2 linked regions of the Rattus norvegicus genome follow. The protein of the gene in region 2 purifies or fractionates together with the protein of the main gene of each other region. This does not show direct contact. Links are inferred from orthologs where the notes say so. Each region holds a gene or a part of one and is shown on either strand. Other genes may lie near its edges.

Region 1 (5,223 bases), about 77 Mb from region 2:
TCCCCTAAGCTTCAAGTTATATTTAGAAAAAGAACAAATAAACACTAGCAAATAAGTCCCAGGAATTATTAACAGCATTATAATAATTATTGGAAGAAATTCTACTATGTCCAAGAAAAAAATTTCAATAGTCACACAGTTTGGAAGCCAAAAAACTAAACAAAGATTTCCCACTCTTTACAAGGGTAAGTTACAGTTTCCACTAGACTTTTGCTGAGGCTAACAGACAATATAAAATCTGACCTGTTTTTACTAACAAGTCAAGTTGTCAAACAGGCTTGAGTCTAGAGCATAGAACTGCTCAGAAAAATATGACTATGAACCAAAGAACCTGCAGAGCAGAGATACAAATTAGTTTTAGTCCTTTAGTCACTGAGCTGGAGTTTAAATGCAATGAAAATATAAAAAATCAGATTCTTTTTTACTAAATGTTTGTTTATTAGGTTCTGGGGAAGCAGAAATTACTATAAATTTAAGGACTGCCTGGTCTACATAGCAAGTTCCAGGGTAGCTAGGACTACACAGGGAGACTCTATCTCAGAACAATAATAACAACAATAACAAAAGGAAAGAAAGAGCTAGAGAGATGGCTCAGCAGTTAAGAGTACATACAGGGTGCTCTTCCAGAAGACCTGGGTTCAATTCCCAGCACATACATGGCAGCTCAAAACTGTCTGTAGTTCACATCCTCACACAGACATACATGCAGGAAAAACACCTTTAAATATGAAAGACAGAGGGAGTTGGGGATTTAGCTCAGTGGTAAAGTGCCTGCCTAGAAAGCGCAAGGCCCTGGGTTCGGTCCCCAGCTCCGAAAAAATAAAAAAAAAAAAAAAAAAAAAGAACCAAAAAGAAAGACAGAGAGAGAAAAGAAAAGGTATTCAAGAGAATGCCAGGGATGTACCTCAATGGCAAAGTGCTTGCCTAGCATTCATAAGGCTTAGGTTTGATGTCCAGCACTGGAAACAAAAATACATTTAAAAAGTGACATGGGGTCAAATAAGAAGATACCATGTTCCCTGTTTTTCCTCCCACTTTGGAACTTTACCAACATAGTTTCTTTCCTCCCAACATGGCCTTTCCACATATTCATACATTGGCTGAAAACCTCTTCAAATTTGAAAACAGGCTCTCATCTCTTTTCATATTAGATAATGAGATGTTGCCTTCATCACTGGATACTCACACACTGGTTTTACAATCAAAGTGTTACATGTGAATTCTGTACATTCTGAAGGATCTCATACTCCCCTTTGGAACTTAAGGCTCACACACCGGGGAAGAAGGAAAGCTTACTAAACTTTTATAACATAGGTCCATAATTCAAAGATTTAACTTAAATTCTGTAGCAGTAGATAAATGTGGGAAAACTGGGGGAGGATAAAAAGAATTCTGTTCCCCATTAATATATAAAGAAATATGTGCCCCATATAATAAGCATTCCATAAACATTTATTGTATTATAAATATAAATAAATAAATATTGAAATGTGAGTCCTTACTAGGTTCCGTTTGTGTGTCTCAGATGAGAGCTCTGTAGAAAAAAACTCTGAAATACAGCATGGAAAGGGAACAGAAAACCCACCAAATGAACAAATTCTCTCCATACTGTATGAGGGGCAGAGTGAAAAAGAACAAAGCAAGAATAAAGCAATTAATTTAAAGCCAGAGTAAGGAGCTCCAATCGAGTATCTGGCTAATGTGCGACTGCATCCACTAAACCCTTATAAAAATGACTTGAGCTTACTATAGGGCAAAACAAGCATTAACATTCCATCTTCATATGGCGCACTCAAACAAGCAATGAGTGCTTCTGCGAAGGAGAATTTTATCCCTTTCTGATTTAAGATAATACTAAATATTTTTGCAAAACTTGATTGAGACCAGGAACAAGAGCATCACAATACCTTCCCCAAGTGGAGAAGCAAAATATATTTAAAGTGTCACACATTCCTTAGCTAAGTCCAAGTCTTTTGGTAAAATACCAAAATTATGCGAAATATATATTTTATTCAGCTCAAATACTGTGTAGAAGACATTAAAAAACTTTTCTTAGATTATATCTTCACAGCAGAATTACAAATACTGACAAAAAGGAAATGATTTCATAGTGATTCTTTTATGTAGCGAATGCCTCCTTCAAAAGTTACATAGTTTCAGGGATAGCACTGGATAAGAGCCGGATTTTTTTCCAAAAGTAGGGTCTGAGTTATAACCCACAGCGTTTAACGATTCTTAACTTCAGTAATCTGTGAGGAGCGCAGCTCGCATTTCTCAAGCCTGCTATTGCTAACAGGGATCCGCGTCGAATAGCGTCGCAGTGGATCCCCCGCATACCCTCCCCCCTGCGCAGGGGAGCGCACCGAGCTCCAGAGCAAAGCCCCGGGAACTCACAGTGTGAGCAAAGGGAAGGAAATGACACAGGCAGGAAAAAAAAAAAAAAAAAAAAAAAGCAAATCAAGGAAAAGACACAACAGCAGCTGGGCCTGCACCAGGCTCCAGCCCCGGCCCCACACTGAGCTCCGGCTCCCCCACCCTCAAGCTCGCGCGCCAGCTCGCTGGGGACCGGAGTGGGCGGCCCGACCGAGCACGGGCCTCCGTCCCGCAGACCCCTCCCCGGGATGCGCCCGCCGCATGCCCGAAAAGAGAGCTGCCGAGTGGGTTTGGCCGGTAGGGCACCCCCGGAAGGTCCTGGTAGCCAGAATCACAGCCCTGGTCGCGGCGCCGCGAAGAGGCGAGCGGTTCGCGGTCCTCAGTCCCGGGCCCGGCGAACTGTCCATGCCTGTCAGGCAGCGGCCCAGGGTCCTCCTCCCCTCAGCCCAGGGCGGAGCGTCGCGAAGCAGCGCGGGCACAGGCCGGGGCGGTGGCGGTACTCACCCATGGTGGCGATGGCGGCGGCAGCGGTATCAGCCCAGAAGTGTCACCTCCGCAGCCGGGGCTGCATGCCGGGGGAGCAGGCGGCGGGGACGGCGGCAGGCCTGGCTCCGCGCGGGGGCCGTGGGCTGCGCTCGGGGCCCCCGCCGCCTCCCCAGGCTCCGGCTCCGGCCCGGGCCGGGCGCTGTGGCATGAGCAGGGTGGCCCGCTACATCCCCGGCGCTCCCAGGCTCGGCCCAACCCGGCCTCGGCGGCGCCACTCGGCTGGCCCGCCTGCCAGTCTTGAAGTCCAGAAGTAGCTCCGACCGGCCACTGTTCTCCACCTCAGGAACGCTCCGAAAAACAAACCGCTGGGCGCGCAGCAAGCCTTGCAATCTGTCACTCATGCCAGCATCTGCCAATCGCAGACAGCCGCTGGGCCTTGGCGCTACCCCCATGCCCATTGCCAGCCAATAACCAGGAGGAAGTCAGATACTCCCGCCCCTCCTCCCGTTCTCTCCCAACGCCCTCACTCTCATCCGCCAGCTAATCACGACGGACCAATCCCGCCTACTCTTACAGGATGCCAATGGGCGAAGTCAAGGCGATTTCCGAGGGCTGTCTAGAGCCTGCCAATCACCCAGACAGCGCCCGTCCTCTCGCGCCTAGCCAATCACAGAGAGAGCGCTGAGCACCCGCCGCGGAGCATCACTAGCTGGCGCTCTCGGCTTCTCTGGCCAATCTGCTCCAATCACAGCTCCGGCTTGAAGCCCCGCCCACAACCCTCTACTCAGTTGCGGAACCCTCGGCTGGCGCGCGGGCTGGCGCTGTTCCCCTCAGCGGCTACACTGGCTGGCTCCTTGAAAAAGCGTAGAGGCCCTCAGAATACGACAACCTTCGGCCCTATGGTTGTCGGCGACCTCGAGGTGCTGAGGTGTTCGGCCCCTGCTGGTGCGAAGTGTCTGGCCTGGAATGGGCGGAGAAGATTTGGCTCGGAGCTTCCAGGCCACTTGTGCCGCGCGATCCCCTAAGCAGCCCACGGCTCTACGTGCGGATTTTACTAGAAGGAGGACGGTCTCGATCTCGTTACTTCTCATTCCCCTGGGTCTCAGACCTCCGAGGGCACATCTAATTCCTCCGTCTCCAAAGGCTAGGGTAGTGCTGGAATGTGGGTCCCCACATTCGGGGTTCTGCTAAAGTTGTTCTTGGACAAATTTTGCTCAGAGTTATAAAATCGAGACACGTTTTTAAAAGAAAAGTTAAAAGTGCAGGAAAATCCCAACCCTAGAGATAGTTTTATCTATTTCTTACCTAGATATGCAACGTTTGACAAAAAAACAAAAAAAAAAAAACAAAAAAAACCACTTCGTATTGTTTTGTAGTGTGCTTACACATTTGTGTTTCCTGTGCCACGAAATATTGTCTCAAAACAATTGTACTGGCTGTGCGATCTTTCAAAAGGGCATTGTGATTAACTTCTTCAACCTCCATTGTTTCAACAATTTATACACCCAGTCTTTAGATTCCAACTCTACCAGAATTAGTGTGGGTTCTCTTTCTCTGGAACTGTTCCAGTGACATATTTCAGATTCCAGAAAAATCTTCGGATGCCATTTTCAGTTGTCATTTAGAAACACCTTAGGGGGTGACTTTGGGGTGTCAGATCTCTTAAAGAGTATCTTACACAATCCATTTTCTTCATCCTCTCTCTCAACCCCATACTATTTAATTATCTCTCTCTTGTCCTGTATTTTTTTCTTTTATTTGTGTGTGGGGGGGGGGCGGGTGGTGGTGTGGTGGTGGTGGTGGTGTTTATGGAGTTGTTTTTTTGTTGTTTGAGACAGAGTCTCTAACCTAGGCTGTCCTGGAACTTCTTTGTAATCTGGCTGGTCTGAAATTCACAGATCTGTCTGCCTCTGCCCCCTGAGTGCTGGGAATAAAAGACCTGTGTCACTGTACCAAACTCCTTTTTCTTCAAATTCTCAAGTCTCACATTCTCACTTGATTGCATCCCTAATTTACTGAAATAGAATAATCCTTTTGTCTGGTGAGGGAAAATGGAGAAGAACACCAGCCATTTACTAGATGCCAGGCATGTAATCTCACTTAACCTCTCCAGTGAATGGCTAAGCAAGCTGCTTCCTTCTACCTTTCCTTCAGATGCCTTCTTTGTGAATTCCATTTCCACTGATTGTCCCTCCGCCACTAGTCAAGCATTTCCATGCTGCCGTTGCCCTGTGTGCTGAGGATCCCAGCTCAGGCAGATCTTTGTTCTAAGCTTCAGAGGCACCACTCCTGAGCACTCCACGGGGCACCTCAAATTCTACGGGTCCAACCTGAACCCATCACCTCCCTCCACTGTTCACGTTT
Region 2 (4,550 bases):
TCTTGGGGAACCTCAGCTTTCAGGACCAGGCTGGACAAGGTATTCTATAGGCAAGAGGGAGGGAGACCAAAAGTCTAGCTCCAATTCCTGATTTTGGTTGGGTTAGGGAGGAATAGGGAGGACATAGACTAGACGTGTATTTGCTGAGGTCCTTCAGTTGCTCTGTTTCCTCTTTGTCAACCTGGCAGTTACTTTAAAGATCGAAGGGAAGCCCCCAAGTGACCCACCCTAGAAAGATGCCAGGCTACTCATATACTATTTGGGGTTGATTCTGTGCCCAGCAAGGCATGGGGGCCCCTTGTTGGGCTGAAGAATGGAACCTTGTCGGGGGTATGAGAGAAAGATCTTAGTTGGGCTTGGTGGTGCTTGCCTGTAATCCTAGCGGTTGGGAGGTAAAGGCAGGAAAGTAATGCTTCTGAGGTAACCCTGAGCAGTCTAAGGAGACCCTGTCTTCCTGCATTAATCTCAGCTCTTGGGAGGCAGCAACAGGTCTATCTCTATGAGTCCCAGGTCTCAAAAAGCCAGATTCAACAAAAACTGAATCTGGAGAGATATCTCAGTGGTTAAAAGCACTGGCTTTTCTTCCAGAGGACCCAGATTCAATTCTCAACACCCTCATGGTGTTTCAGAGCAATCTTTAACTCCAATTCTAGGAGATCCGATGTTGTTTGCTGGCTTCCATGGGTACCAGTCACATAAGTGGTGCATAGACATACATGTAGGCAGAACACTCATCCATGTACAATTTAAAAAGAAAGAAAGAAGGAAAGGGCAGCAAAGGTTGGGGATCTAGTGCTGGTGTGAGCATGAGCCAAGTCCCAGGTTCTCTACACTAGAGGCAGGAAATGCATTTACGTCTCCTGTTGGTAAGTAGGGCAGGCAGGGCAGCTAGCAGTCCATTCTCAGTTGTCTGCAGTCTGATGAGCCAGGGCCACACTGCTGGTACTGGTTTACCTTGGAAGACTATCCTGGATAACCATGTCCCAGTCTAGGACAGGGAGGCTGAGAGCTAGAGACAATCCGAAGGGTTCCGTAGCCCTGCCAGATGTCTCCATCCCTTCAGCCCCTTCCTCCACTGACAGCTGTGTCACTCAGCCCTTCCCCTCTCTTTCAGCAGCTGATGGGACCAGCACATACAAACAGCATCGCAGGACGCCTTCCTCCTCTAGCACCCTTGCCTATTCGCCACGGGATGAGGAGGACGGCATGGTAGGTCTCCACGATGCAGGAGCCCAGTGTGATCCCCAACCCTCCTGTCAGGCCCTCCTCACTGAGGCCCAGGTCCTAAGAGGAGCTGGCAGGAGAGCAGAGTCAGGATGGTGAGGCACCTTGAGGTCTGAGCACTTGTTGCATTCCTGAAACTAAGAGGAGGCTCCTGTAGCCGGATGGTGGCAGGAAGCAGCCAGTTTGTGGAACTGTGCTTTAGGGCATGTCCCCTGAAGGCCAATTTCAGGCAGTTTGGGCTCCATCTTAAGGGAGGTGGGAGCCATAAAAGGTATAGTTAGGTGAATCTGCCCATGGGACAGAGGATGACTGCCAGGACCGAAGTCTTTGTTGGACGGCAGAGGAACCAAACTTCTTTTCCCTTTTCTTTTTGCTTTTATATTTGGTGGGGTTCATTGTCATTGTTTTGTTTTGTTTGAGACAGGGTCTCTATGTGCTCCTCATTATCCTGGAGCTCACTATATGGACCAGGCTGTCCTTGAGCTCACAGAGATCTGTCTGTCTCTGACTCTGGAGTGTTGGGATTAAAGGAATGTGCCACCATGCCCAACCCCTTTTTTCCCTTTTCATTAGGAAGATAAACATCCAGTAGGCATATTACGGGGCAGGCACTGCCCTTAGCCCCAGGATGGGTTAGATACCTGGTACCCATACCCCACAGCTTCACCTCTCTCAGTCTCCACCCAACTCCTGACTGCAGCCTGGGCCTTGGAAGTGGATTCATTGTGCTTCTGGTTTTGGATAACTCTGGGGCATCTGACAGGTTATAGTAACTTTAGTGTGATGTCCTAGAATCTTGTGTTTGCTGTAGGACATTGAGCAGCCATGCCCACCCCACCGCATTGACTGGCCTTAGTTGCTGTGCTTGGCACGGGGAGTGGGAGTGGGGGAGCCTAAGAGTTGCACTAGCCAGTAGGCAGAGGGGAGACTACAGCTCTGTACTAGCTCCTGCCTAGGAGCTGTGTCCTCTGCCTGCCATTGCTGTCTGTGGGGGTATGACCCACTTCCTTTAACTTTAGCCTCTGGGTCTCACAGGGCACTCCCATGCACGATGTAACTTGGGACATCGGAGTAAGGAGAGATGGGAACTGCCCTGGTGGGTGAATATGTGCCCAGCCTCTGCCTCTGTTTAGGGACGCCCAGAACTGGGATGGGCTGCATCCCTATCTCATGGCCCCCTTCCCTATTCTGGACATAGGCTCGGGAGAGGTAGGTGAGCCTAGGCATTGGGTCCTGCATGGAGGAGCTATGGCAGCAGTAGCTCTTGGATACCATGCCTCTCTTCCCCTACGACCTCATCAAAGGTTGCTCCTTCCCTTCAGGTCTGAGGAGGCGAGGTCAGCCTCTGGTGAAATGTCCCAGTGAGCCTTCCCGGCTGGGTCTAGTGTCTCCTGGACAAGGCAGCTCAGCCCATGGGCTCCTCTCCTTGACCAGACTTCTACTCTTTTCTGTTGGGTAATCTGGTGTCTTAGCTGCCCCAGGATTGGCTGGTAGATGCAGCCTCTCTGCGGCCCACATTCCCTCACGGGAAGCAGGAAGAAGCCTGAGCATGTCCTGTAAAATTGAATAGCAGGAAATCTCTCCATTTACACAAAGAAAGTTGGCAGGCAAGAACGGGCAGCCCAGCACCAAAGGCCAGGGCTGGCCGCCACAGGCCACGGGATTGAGGCCATCCCAGCCTCCCACACACAATCCACAGCCTTGTGGGTTTGCTGGAAGTGGGGTGGCTTAGGGGCGCCCCTGCCTCCACAGGGCTCAACCCCCTGACAGGCTGCCTCCATCTGTGCAGCCCCCCATCAACACTCCTCGCCGCTCTGACTCAGCCATCTCTGTCCGCTCCCTGCACTCCGAGTCCAGCATGTCCCTGCGCTCCACGTTCTCGCTGCCTGAGGAGGAAGAGGAGCCGGTAGGTGTGGTGGGCTTGGCAGGAATCATCTTCCAGGGTTGTCAGTGCTGCAGTGGCACAGGGCACTGTCCCTCAGACCGCACCAACATAGCTCATGCTGTGGGTAGGTCAGACCCGATTAGGGCCTCTAGTCTATGTAAAGGCTGCCTGGGGATGAGTTGTGGGAAGGTGGGGCTCAGACGGGGTCCTTTGCTAGTCTGTAAGGCAGGAAGAGAGGCCAGTAAGGCTGAGACCATGTGTGCAGATGCTGTGTGTCAGTTTCTCACTGCTCACAGCCTGCCTCTGAACCACACCCCTTGCTTTAGCTCCTTGGTCCTCTCATGGGTCTCAGTGCCAGTGAACAGCCCTGGACGGGTGAACGTGCAGGCGGCTTGGGTAATTAATGTCACTGAGGGTCTATGCCTGAAGCCCCCACTTGTGGCCCACGTGCTGACCATTTTGCTCCGCTCTGTCTAGGAGCCATTGGTGTTTGCGGAGCAGCCCTCGGTGAAGCTGTGCTGCCAGCTCTGCTGCAGTGTGTTCAAGGACCCTGTGATCACTACGTGTGGGGTAAGCACACACACCTCTCCCACCCGACTCTGCCTGCTGACCCTGACCGAGGACCTTAGCCCTGTTCATCCTAAGCTGGCTGTCCAGCCGGAGCTCTCTGCAGTGGTGTGGGATGATGTGAGACTCTGACTGGAGTCCCCCAAGTCCACTTTTTGTCCCCACAGCACACCTTCTGCAGACGATGCGCCTTGAAGTCAGGTAGGTCTGTGCCTCCCATTCAGACTGGTGAAGTTGGTAGGTAATTCCCACCCTGCCCTTTCCCAGGCTGCCAGCAGAGGCCACTGGTTTCCTATCTAGGCATGTGTGGCCTCTCCCAGGGCTTGCATAGTGTTGCCAGGGTTCGGGCCTGGCGAAGGACCTCGATAGTAAAGCAGACCCCAATTCCTGGTGTCTCCAGACTCAGCCTTGGCTGTGGTGGGCGTGGGCTGGGTCCCAGGGTGAGGGCTTGGGCTGACAGGTGCTGTTGTCCCTGGCAGTCCCTGCTGCTGCTCCACACCCACTGGCTGCCCTTCTGCCCTCTGTCATCACCTGCTCGTCCTCTGGGAGGCCTGCTGTGCAGCTCTTCCTGCACCGGCACCTTGGGGCAGTTGAAAGAGTAGACAGGGCACCCGGTGGGCTTCTTTCCACCTGTCGTGCCGTTGCATCTCCCTCCCCAGGACTTGGCTTCCCACTGGGCAAAGCTGCCAGGGAGAGAGGTGGCTGGGCAGGTGGTGGGCTCAACATGTCCTCCTCTCCCAGAGAAGTGTCCTGTGGACAATGCCAAGCTGACAGTGGTGGTAAACAACATTGCAGTAGCTGAGCAGATTGGAGAGCTCTTCATACATTGTCGGCATGGCTGCCGTGCAGCAGGCACTGGGAAGCCCGGTGTCTT

The links. The genes of interacting proteins can lie anywhere in the genome.
Region 1: the proteins of Traf7 (region 2) and Map3k3 purify together in Homo sapiens (affinity purification with mass spectrometry; 5 studies listed by BioGRID and IntAct, with this or other methods). This does not show direct contact. The link is inferred for Rattus norvegicus from reciprocal best matches to the Homo sapiens genes TRAF7 and MAP3K3.

The regions. Positions count from the first base shown.
Region 1 is NC_086028.1:91,517,923-91,523,145, reverse strand, and holds the start of Map3k3 (mitogen-activated protein kinase kinase kinase 3), read right to left. Parts: upstream 3,171-5,223; 5' UTR 2,882-3,170; coding exon 2,878-2,881; intron 2,813-2,877; exon of another isoform or gene 1,503-2,812; intron 960-1,502; exon of another isoform or gene 905-959; intron 1-904. UniProt on the Homo sapiens protein: Component of a protein kinase signal transduction cascade. Mediates activation of the NF-kappa-B, AP1 and DDIT3 transcriptional regulators.
Region 2 is NC_086028.1:14,042,454-14,047,003, reverse strand, and holds part of Traf7 (E3 ubiquitin-protein ligase TRAF7), read left to right. Parts: intron 1-1,114; coding exon 1,115-1,209; intron 1,210-2,976; coding exon of another isoform or gene 2,977-3,013; coding exon 3,014-3,130; intron 3,131-3,586; coding exon 3,587-3,679; intron 3,680-3,843; coding exon 3,844-3,877; intron 3,878-4,417; coding exon 4,418-4,550. UniProt on the Homo sapiens protein: E3 ubiquitin and SUMO-protein ligase that plays a role in different biological processes such as innate immunity, inflammation or apoptosis. Potentiates MAP3K3-mediated activation of JUN/AP1 and DDIT3 transcriptional regulators.